Macaca mulatta: one gene and its partners. The protein of the gene in region 3 interacts with the protein of the main gene of each other region in a pairwise test. Links are inferred from orthologs where the notes say so. Each region holds a gene or a part of one and is shown on either strand. Other genes may lie near its edges.

Region 1 (3,649 bases), on a different chromosome or scaffold from region 3:
ATTATATATGCAACCTTGCCATACCTGCCAGTTAACTCCCCTCCCGCCAATGTTATCCTCGTGATATCAGCTCCCTCTTGGGGCCACTGAGCTGCCCCCCTTTCCTTCTGGGTTGGAGTAGTGGTACCCCTCAAGCAGGCAATGGGCAGGGGGAGATCCACAATTAATCGTCGCAGTTCTCTTAAAAGTATTAACACTTAAATAAGCACTCTTGGGGAGTTGCAAAGGATATTCAGGATGGGATGCAGTGGGAGGCTACCCCTCATCCAAGGTACAGGCTGGAATGAGCTACAGCTGGTCTATCGTGGGCCTCAGAAGGTGAAGAGGGACCGTATTCTGGGGCTTAGTGTGGGTGGGGCATATCCTCCCCAAACTTGTTCTGGTGGGCGATGTTCTTCACATCTAGGAGAGCCTGAGGAGGAGGCAAGAATAGGGCAGGTGAGAGAGAGTGAGGACCCCTCTACCTCGGCTGCAGGGCTGCCCCCACTCCAGCCCTCAACCACTCTGTCTTCTGGACTATCCCACAGCCCCCGCCCCATGCAAAATAATCACATGAGGCAGCCATGCAGAGGGGCCTGTGGTCTCCCTTTACCCAATCACAGAAGGGGTGTGTGTGTGTGGGGGGTGAGTGTGCACGTGTTGAAGGGTCTACCCAGGGCCCACCTGGTGGTGGACATAGGCCTGACAGTAGTAACACCAGGTTGACAGGTCGATGTAGCTGAGGACCAGCGGGTGTCCAGAATTTTCATGGTGTTGGAGCATGTGGCCATTGATGTAACGACCACAGTAGACCTGAGGTTGGGGGTGTGAGTGTCAGGTGGGGGTCAGCACCCCCCTGTAGTTCCAACCTCCGCCCCATCCCCTTCCTCTGCTCCATACCTGATAGCAAGAGAGACACACCCAATTCTCTTGGATTGTTCCACAGTCCCCACAAGGTTGGGTCACGTCTAGGCCTGCTGCAGGTATGGGGCATACTGCCACCAAATGGGGACACCAGGGCAGTGGTGTCACAGCATAAAATATGGCCTGGAGTGGGTGGATGAAACTGAGTAAGCTGAAGACCCCATCTCCCCATTATATGTTTATTTATCACATGCTCCTACCTGGAGACACAAAGTGGCAAGAGAAGGAAGCCACAGTCCCAGCCTGAGCTCACCTGATCAGTGAGGCCCCTAGATCCCTGCATCAGCATCGAATCAGCCATGTCCTGACCTCCAGCTGCCTCTCCTAGTAGGTTCTCCTCTCCTGGGGCCTGAGATTCTGAGGCCCCCTGGACACGCAGAAGTAAGAGATGTATCAGAGAAGCCTGATTCTTGCCCCTTCTTGCCCCTACCTGGGTGTGGTGGGCCTTACCTGAGATTTGCTGCCTAGCTCCAAGGTCCTGAGATTCTCAATCAGTGTACTGGGAGATATCTGGGGTGTAGTTCCCTGCACAGGTGAGGTTGGGGGGGTCTGGTGGTCTGTGCTCGAGGCTAGAGGAGTTTGGATCAGCTCGGTGCCCCCTGGAGCCTCCTCTGACGTAGTCTGGTCCAGTGTGGCTCCCTCCATGGCTGCCTCCGAGGTGGTCTGGGCCAGTGTAGCTCCTCCTACAGCCTCCTCTGAGGTAGTCTGGCCCAGCGTGGCTCCCCCAACAGCATCCTCTGAGGTGGTCTGGTCCAGAGTGGCTCCTCCCACAGTCTTCTCTGAGGTGGTCTGGTCCGGAGTGGCTCCCCCGACAGCCTCCTCTGAGGTGGTCTGGCCCAGCATGGCTCCCCCAACGGCTGCCTCAGAGATGGTCTGGGCCAGTGTGGCTCCCCCTGTGGCTGCCTCTGAGGACTGGTCCTGAGTGAGGGCCACCACAGCTGTCTCTGACTTAGTCTGGCCTGGAGTGGACTCTTCCCCAGATGATGCCGAGGTGATCTTTCCCATGCCTGCTTCCAGAACCTTCTTTTCTCGTGTGGTCATCCGCTCAGCTAACCTAGGTTTGGCTGGTTGGGGTGCCTTCTTGGTGACCAACTTAGAACTGGAGGGTCCCTCTCTGTCTTCTACCTCTGGAACCAGGGAGGGAGATCCTTGAGTGTGGGTACTGTCCTCCTTCCTGCCTCTAATCCCTGCCCCCCAGCCCCCTCCTTCCCTGAGTTCCCTCCATCGCCCCCAAATCCACTCACTCATGACCCGTAAGCTGCGCCAGTATCTGCGATGGACTTGGATGGTCTCAGTGATTGAGGCCAGGGCCCCTGATAGAGGGGGCCGTGGCAGGGTCAGCAGGGGTGGCGGGTCTCCAAGGAGGGAGCGAGTGCAGGCAGCCATGGACTCTGAGATGGATGTCAGGTTATAGCCACCCTTTGTTAAGGAAAAGGGGAGGGAAAAGTATGGTGGGGGTTCATTGGGGAATTTGGAGGGCAACATGTCCTGCCTCCCCAATCCTCCCTACTGAGCCCTGCAAGTCTGGAGAGGGAGGGAGAGTACTGGGAACAAGTGAACAGAACCCACACCTGTAAGATGGGCAGCACCCATTGTGTAAGGTGGTTGTTGTGGGGAGTAAATTGTGATGTAAAGTGCAAGATAACGATACTGATAAAAGCATTAGTAACAGCTGACATTTATTGTTTGCTGTGTGCCAGACCTGATTTTAAGTACTTCATGCATATTAACTCAATCCTCACAACCACAGGTGCTCAGTCTATACAGGAACTTGCCTTCATGCCATACAGAAATCCGTCTTCACACTGTCCAGGAACCCCTGGCCTCACATCATACAGTAACCACTGACCTGACCTGCACAAGACGACTGCTGTGAATCCATACAAAAGACCCTGCCCTGACCTAGTACAGGAACAACTGGACTCCCTCTCCACATGGACTCCTGTATTGACTTTTTTTTACATTCCACAGGAATCCCAGTTGCTATTCTTTTTACAGATAAAGAAACTGAGGATCAGAGTGGTTAGATGACTTGTCCGAGGTCATAACAGCTGAAGAGGCAGCACTGGGGTTTGAACTTGGGCTCTCTGATGGAGTCATCTGTGTTCTTAACTCCCACCGTGTCCTGTCACAAGCAGTACTGGGCACACAGTAAGTGGGACTTTTTGCAAGCCAATTAATTTCTCTGTGACTTATTTTCCTCATCTGTAAAGTGGTGAAAATAACAGCACAGGCCAGGCATGGTGGTTCACCCCTATAATCCCAGCACTTTGGGAGGCCGAGGCGGGCAGATTACCTGAGGTTAGGAGTTTGAGACCAGCCTGGCCAACATGGTGAAACCCCATCTCTACTAAAAATACAAAAATTAGCCAGGCATGGTGGCATGTGCCTGTAGTCCCAGCTAGTCGGGAGGCTGAGGCATGAGAATTGCTTGAGCCCAGGAGATGGAGGCTGCAGTGAGCTGAGATTGTGCCATTGCACTCCAGCCTGGGTGACAGAGCAAGACTTTGTCTCAAAAGGAAAAAAAAAGAGGCAGGTACGGTCGCTCATGCCTGTAATCCCAACACTTTGGGAGGCTGACACGGGTAGATCACAAGGTCAGGGGTTCAAGACCAGCCTGGCCAACATGGTGAAACCCCATCTCTACTAAAAATACAAAAAAATTAGCTGGGTGTGGTGACAGGCACCTGTAATCCCAGCTACTTGGGAGGCTGAGGCAGAGAACTGCTTGAACCCAGTGAGCCGA
Region 2 (3,698 bases), on a different chromosome or scaffold from region 3:
CGATCTCGGCTCACTGCAACCTCCACCTCATGAGTTCAAGTGATTCTCCTGCCTCAGCCTCCTGAGTAGATAGGATTACAAGCATGCGCCACTACACCCGGCTAAGTTTTGTATTTTCAGTAGAGATGGGGTTTTACCATGTTGGCCAGGCTGGTCACGAACTCCAGACCTCAAGTGATCCACCCGCCTCAGCCTCCCAAAGTGCTGGGATTACAGGCGTGAGCCACCGCACCTGGCCTATATAGCCTCTTTTTAATAAATCACCACAATCACTAAGTGATACTGTGGCCAATTCTACTATTCCAAGACTGCCAAGACATAATCAGCATCGTATTTTAATTCAAAAGATTCCATAAAAAAATGTTAGTTATAGCAAAGATAACTTTCAACAAGAGCCACTTTTTCTGACCTTGTCAACCTGTGAATCAGCTGTTCTTAGAAGCACAGTTACTTGGACACTACACCATTCCTTCAGATGATGTAATCTTAAGGAATTTAGTAATTAGGTGAATTACTAACATAAAACAGTATTTACTGACATGACTAAACTGAAAGGCCTTTCACCTATTCCTAGAGTCTTCACAGAAATCAGACACCCAGTGTAAGAAAACAGTGTTGAAAGCTCTGCTGGTCACATCAAAGAGAATAATCATTTCAACAAATCCAGAGGATATCTTAAAGTATGAAATCTTAAAGCATGAAAGCTCAAATAAAACTACTACTGCGTACTAATACACAGCAACAAAAAGAACCACTGCAGAAACTGTTATAAGACTTTATGAGAGCAAAAACAAATGAAGAGGCGAAAACACAACAACCATTAAGAAAAAAAAAAAAAAAAAAGACAAAGAAGGCATTGAGAGAAGCAGCACAAAATAAAGATTATCCCTGAAAGAAAATCTGTTGACTAAAATATTCTGTTCTAAATACTTAATTTTAAAATTTCGATTAGAACAACACACTGTCCATTTGGCAGACCTACAAAAACATTTCCTTAAAAAATTACCATTACTTCAGCTATATTTTTAAAAGTCCTGTTCACTTGGAAAAGACTATCATAATAATTAGAATAACTTGTCTCACTATTTACTTAGAAATGCTCTATTTAAAAGTAGGCCAACAATAGGAACTTTGCTATTGCACAACAGAGAAAGTAAATGAAATAACATCTATTAACATTCAGTGTCCATAGCATGTTTCTCCATCTCCTAGAACATACTGTGACTTACACTGTCTACCCTGAACAATTTACCACTTCTTCATCCATGCAGTAGCTCAAATAAAGACAGTTCCTGTGTTAATCCCACAATAAGCCTCAGTAATTCTCACATCACCGTCGTTGTAAACGTTTGTTAACAGAAAAAGAATGTTTTTCCTAAAATAGCTACATAACACTAAGACTACTCAAATTCCTAAATAATCCTTTTACAACATGCCTGCCAACTTTATTTTGATACATTAAACATGTGGAGCCTATTTTAAAAGCTCTTTGTGATTTTATCAAAACAGCTTCCTAGTTATTAATGTCTCTTTTTAAAAGAAGTTTTTAGAAGAAATTGAATATTGATGAATTTGGGCTGCTATCAAATGCCTAGGAAGCACTTTTTTTGCCAGATAAGATGGGCAAACGTCCTAGATCTGCTAAATTTGACATGAGAGGTCATGCAATTTTTAAAAAATGAAGAAATAACTATTTCCAACACTCACTGAGTCCTTCATTTAAAAAATCATTTTAGGTGTTATTTTCACACTTTACGTTTAATAATACAATTTTTTTTAAGGCTGTTAGGCTTAAACTATAAAAAAACTGATCTATGGCTTGTCAGTCTATACTCTTAATGGGGCTCCGGTAGATTTGGGGTACTGAAAATAAGTGGCAGTTTCAATTAATAACTTCGCTGTTAGTAATGACATCTGAAAAGGATGGTGCTAGGGAAGGCAGACAAGAGATGCCGGGGGTACGATGAGAAGAGAAACACAATTTAAAGCCACTAAGGAGGGAAGGCGAGGGTAGAACGCACAGACAGCAGAGAAAGACGATTTAACAAGGAAGTGAAGTGGAGCGCAGAGTAGGGCAGAAGCTGATGAGGAAATGAAAGGGAAAAGATAGTGTTTTCAAAGAGGGCATGCACCAGGAAGAGCCAAGGCTTGGGGTAGCCCCAGCGCTTTCGTGTGAAAGAGATGCTTGAAGACTGAAGCGGAGGGAAGAGGCAATCAGTTGGCGTCCAGGCGTTCGAGCAAACTCCCATTCTCTCCCCGCGCCTCTCCCAGTCCTCAGCTGAGCGGAGGCGGCGGCCGGGGAAGGGGCCTACCCGAGAGCCAGGCACGGCGTGCCCCCGCCTAGGCTCCGCGGGGAAAGCAGCGAGGATTCGGAAGGACAGAGGCCCCGGCCGCGGCTCGGCGGCACCGGGAAAACCTGCCCAGGGCTCGGGGCCTCGGCGGCCCGGCCAGTCAGCCGCTTCCCCTCCGGCGGGGCGCCGGGCGGCCTTACCTGAGGCAAGGGAGGGAGAAGATGTCTAGGGCGCCTCGCTCGCGCCCGCCGCGGTACTCAACCCAAGTTTCCAACGGAGGCGCGACCCTGACTCAGCCGCCGCTTCCCCCTCGGGGTCTCGACCACCGACCGCCTCCGCCGCCTCCGGGGCTGTTTACACCGCCCGGCCCCTCACGCCGCCGCCGCCGCCGCTGCTGCCTTCTCTCCACCCCAGCGCCGTTGCCGACTCGGCCGCCGCCACCTCCTCCGCCGCAGCCTCGTCTCTCTGGAGCATCTTCCAACCACCTAACCCTGAGAATCAGAGACTCCAGCCGCGCCGGCAGGAAACTCCCCCGCAACTGCTAGGGGAACGAGGCAGTCAGAGCACTGGCGGCTTTTCCGCCATTGAGCAGAAGCCGCTCGGCTCCTTCTGCAACCCCCTCCCCGCACCCTAGTCCTTCCCCGCCCCTCAGGGAGCCCCGCCTCCAGCTCCCACCCACTGGGATGCCGCGCGCCCTGTCGCGGCCTCTGGTTTGCTGGGAGTCTTGTCAATTACCGCTCCCCCTCCCAGTGCTGCTCCCTCGACACCTCCGTACTTAGTTTACCCCGCCCACCCGGCCCCGCCTCTGAGTTTCTAATTTCCCATTGGACATCAGTGGCTACTTTCAATTGGCAAGGTCAGCTGTCCATCAAACACCGCCCACTAAGTGAGACCCAACCCTTTATTACCATTTACTTTATTCGGCCCCGCCTCCGCTAGGTCCTACCTCCCAAACGTCAGGGACCAGCCCCCGATACCAGCCATAAGTAGAGCCCGCCGTCAATCAAATAACGCCCACCTGCGCTCCTCCTAGCAAAGCCCCGGCCCCAGCGATTGCCTTCTCTTATTGGTCCAAATCGTGGTCCGAACCCCCAGTCACTGGCTTTCTTTGCGGGTCAGTCACTGAGCCAATTTCCAAGTCCGTCACACCGGCTTTTTTTCAAATGAACCCGGAAAAGGCGGGGAGGTATCTGAAAAGCGATTGGTTCGTCTTAGAAAACGGTCAAACCCAGAGAGTCTGTACGGATCCTTTCCGTTCTGTGAGGACCGTGCCCCCTTGTATTTGACCTCTAAGCCTTGCGTAAATCAAGCGCCATAAGGGACCAACGAGCAGTCCAGCTATAGGTGTGGACGCCTGGTCCCACCCGGAATTGCAAGGGCTTGGCTACTGATTGGCTAAGAAAGTCC
Region 3 (3,649 bases):
TCTCCCCAAGCCCCTCTTCAGTGAAACCCTCTTGAACTGAGGTTATTCCATGTTCCCAAAACCGTGGTGTAATTTTGTGTTGTTACTGATTTTCCCTTTCTCCAATCCTTCGCTACACAGCTGGGAGTGATTCTTTTTTTTTTCTCTTTTTTTTTTTTTTTTTTTTTTTGAGACGGAGTTTCACTCTTGTTGCCCAGGCTAGAGTGCAATGATGTGATCTCGGCTCACCGCAACCTCCGCCTCTTGGGTTCAAGCAATTCTCCTGCCTCAGCCTCCCACGCAGCTGGAATTACAGGCATGCGCCACCACGCCCAGCTAATTTTATATTTTTAGTAGAGACGGGGTTTCTCCATATTGGTCAGGCTGGTCTCAAACTCCCTATCTCAGGTGATCCACCTGCTTTGGCCTCCCAAAGTGCTGGGATTACAGGTGTGAGCTCCTGCACTCGGCCAGCTGGGAGAGATTCTTAAATCACAGCCTCTCTTCTTTCTGCTTCCGCTTCCCTCACCCTAGTTCTGTGCTCCTACCCTTCCACCTGACCCCCTCTCCTTATTATCCCATCACTCACCCCTGGGTGCAGTTCTCATGGCAGGGCCTACATTCATTCTGAACATCTGGGTACTTGTAGATGGGGCCCTTGGCACCTAGGACTCCATGGGGGCAGCTGCTCACACAGTGGGGCCCATCTCGAAAATGGGCACATTGAGCACAAGTATCAGAGCCCTGAGTGGAAGAGAGAAGGTCAGGAAGAATCAGATCCCAAGGTCAATTCCATACCTCCCAGCAAAAACCAACCCAGACATTCAGGATCTTCTATCTGCAGGCCCTAGCATTATCTGGCCTCTCTGTACTATCCTTAGCCATATCATTCCCCAGATGCTCCAAGTATTGCCCCTTCTCTGTCTCCCTTGGAGTGTCTCCCTTGGAGATCCTGGTGCTGCTACTATACCGAGCCATTGCATGTGGCAGTGCCCTCCATGGGTTGGCATTCCGGGTGGCAGGAGAAGCATTCAGCCTCATGGGCAAACTCTCGAGGCTCCCTGCAGTGGGGAATAAAGGGAGAGGGGTCACTTCCAAGTCCTGACCTTCATGACCTGGTCTCCTACCTCACTCCCACCAAGGCATATGCAGAAAGCTGTCTAAAGGCTTTTATTATATGCCACCTGAACAGTTCCATGGCAGTGCCCCAACCCCACCCATCCTTGACTGGCTCCCCTCACTGTACCCATTCAGAAAGTTGCAGTGGGTCACACAGACACCTCCTCGGCTGTAGTTTCGACAGGACAAGCACTGACCAGGGCCTGGGCCCCAGCATCCCCCAGAGGAGCACAGTGGGTCACACACTTTGCCCTCTGCCACTGGAAAGGAAGGGGTGGGTTAGGAGAGGAGTCTGAGGACTCCCAGCAAGCCCTCTCTTCATTATTCTTCCTCGTTACTGCTTCCGGCCTAACAGCCCCTTTCTCCTTGGTTCCATCCCTCAACCCTACTCCCATGTCTAGGGCAGAATAGTCCTTTCAGCTCTCTCCTCCCTGACTCCCTATTCTCACCACCCAGCAGACCCTTTCCCTCACCGCAGTCTCTACGCGGACGATTATGCTTGATGTCTAGTCGCTCTTCTGTAGGCCCCCGAAGCACCTTGGTCCAGTTCAAAGAGTGGTGGTAGCAGAGCTGCCTATTGGCACTTATATAGATACGCCCAGCACTAATTTCCTTCAGGGATCGGAAGCCCAGAGATGTGACATTCAAGTTCTTCATGATCAACAATGAGAAGCCCCGGCTGAGAATAAGGAGACAGGATGAGAGGAGAGACTACTAAGGGAACATTAACTATTCAATGGAATCATGTTAGTCAAGAAATTTGCTCAGTGCTAGTCAGATCCACTGAGAGGGAATCCCCCTCCTTTTGCCTTTTCCTCATGAAACTCTGAAACCCTTTGGTATTGAGGTACTGCTGTATGAGACGGTGCCTTGTATTTTACTCAAGAATGCCTGAAGATGCCACTTCTGCCATAGTCTTTACTCACTTGTAGAGGCTTCTGCCTCCAATGGTTGTCAAGTTGGAAAAAACACTGAAGTTGTACATGTGGGGTGGCCAGGACTGGATGTTCAGGTAACCTGAGGGGTTGGAGAGAGGCATATGGGCAGGCAGACTTCATCTTTCTTGGGTTCTCCTAGCTCCTCCCCTGTAACTTGGGACATGATTTTCTCAAGTAGTTATACCGCAATTTATGCCAGTGGTTCGTCTATTCTAGAAAGGCCAAACTCTCTACCACTCACCTGTGATCTCCCGTACTGTCCGGAAGACATTGAGCTTCTCTGGGTCCAGGGCAGGGATCTTGTGCCAGGGGTCTCTGAGTAGAACAGTAGAAACCAGTCAATAAGGTAAAGGTATAATTCAGTGGCAGTGAGCACACCAAGCCTCAGAATTTGGTTTCTAAATATCATTCTCCACTAAAAGGAAACATTCCTTGGAGAAATGGCTGGGATGGGGGAACTATATGAGCCTAGAGCATCTTGTGCAGACAAGAAAAGACTCAAAGAATTAAGGGTACAGCCCAAAGAACACAGGAGCCAGCTTGGAGGGGCTGGCTAAAATAAATGATGATTGTAAAAGATCATAACCATTGACTAGAATAAAATAAGTATCCATAAGAGTAAATAAATAGGAAAGGAAGACTTTTTTTTTTTTTCGAGACAGAGTCTTGCTCTATCGCCCAGGCTGGAGTGCAGTGGCAGCAATCTCGGCTCACTGCAGCCTCCGACTCCTGGGTTCAAGCAATTCTCCTGCCTCAGTCTCCTCAGTAACTGGGACTACGAGTGCACCACCACGCCCAGTTAATTTTTGTATTTTTAGTAGATATGGGGTTTCACCATGTTGGCCAGGATGGTCTCGATCGATCTCTTGACCTCGTGATCCACACCTAGTGATCCACCTGCCTAGGCCTCCCAAAGTGCTGGGATTACAGGCATGAGCCACTGCATCCAGCCACATGTGGTATGTTAACATTTGGAGGATCTGGGTAAAACAGTATATGGGGGGCCGGACGTGGTGGCTCACGCTTGTAATCCCAGCACTTTGGGAAGCAGGGGCGGGTGGATCACTTGAGGTCAGGAGTTCGAGACCAGCCTGGCCTACATGGTGAAACCCTGTCTCTACTAAAAATACAAAAATTAGCCGGGCATGGTGGCACATGCCTATAATTCCAGCTACTCGGAAGACTGAGGCAGGAGAATTGCCTGAAACCGGGAGGCAGAGGTTGCAGTGACCCAAAGACTGCACCACTGCACTCCAGCCTGGGAAAGAGAGTGAGACTCTGTCTTAAAAAAAAAAAAAAAAAAAAGAGGCCAGGCATGGTGGTTCACGCCTGTGATCCCAGCACTTTGGGAGGCCGAGGCGGGCGGATCATGAGATCAGGAGATGAAGATCATCCTGGCTAACACGGTGAAACCCCGTCTCTACTAAAAATACAAAAAAATTAGCCGGGCGTGGAGGTGGGCGCCTGTAGTCCCAGCTACTCAGTAGGCTGAGGCAGGAGAATGGCGTGAACCCGGGAGGCGGAGCTTGCAGTGAGCCGAGATGGCACCACTGCACTCCAGCCTGGGCGACAGAGTTGAGACTCTGTCTCAATTAAAAAAAAAAAAAAAGTAT

The links.
Region 1: the proteins of ERBB3 (region 3) and HDAC6 interact in a protein complementation assay, tested with the Homo sapiens proteins (2 studies listed by BioGRID and IntAct, with this or other methods). The link is inferred for Macaca mulatta from reciprocal best matches to the Homo sapiens genes ERBB3 and HDAC6.
Region 2: the proteins of ERBB3 (region 3) and PPM1B interact in a two-hybrid assay, tested with the Homo sapiens proteins (2 studies listed by BioGRID and IntAct, with this or other methods). The link is inferred for Macaca mulatta from reciprocal best matches to the Homo sapiens genes ERBB3 and PPM1B.

Annotation. Positions count from the first base shown.
Region 1 is NC_133426.1:48,900,555-48,904,203, reverse strand, and holds part of HDAC6 (protein deacetylase HDAC6), read right to left. Parts: intron 2,323-3,649; coding exon 2,148-2,322; intron 2,031-2,147; coding exon 1,354-2,030; intron 1,271-1,353; coding exon 1,157-1,270; intron 1,027-1,156; coding exon 880-1,026; intron 793-879; coding exon 664-792; coding exon of another isoform or gene 649-663; exon of another isoform or gene 601-648; intron 478-600; exon of another isoform or gene 413-477; coding exon 344-412; 3' UTR 1-343.
Region 2 is NC_133418.1:80,680,380-80,684,077, forward strand, and holds the start of PPM1B (protein phosphatase 1B), read right to left. Parts: upstream 2,918-3,698; 5' UTR 2,492-2,917; intron 1-2,491.
Region 3 is NC_133416.1:63,241,795-63,245,443, reverse strand, and holds part of ERBB3 (receptor tyrosine-protein kinase erbB-3), read right to left. Parts: intron 2,352-3,649; coding exon 2,278-2,351; intron 2,116-2,277; coding exon 2,025-2,115; intron 1,778-2,024; coding exon 1,572-1,777; intron 1,359-1,571; coding exon 1,226-1,358; intron 1,041-1,225; coding exon 950-1,040; intron 724-949; coding exon 569-723; intron 1-568. UniProt on the Homo sapiens protein: Tyrosine-protein kinase that plays an essential role as cell surface receptor for neuregulins.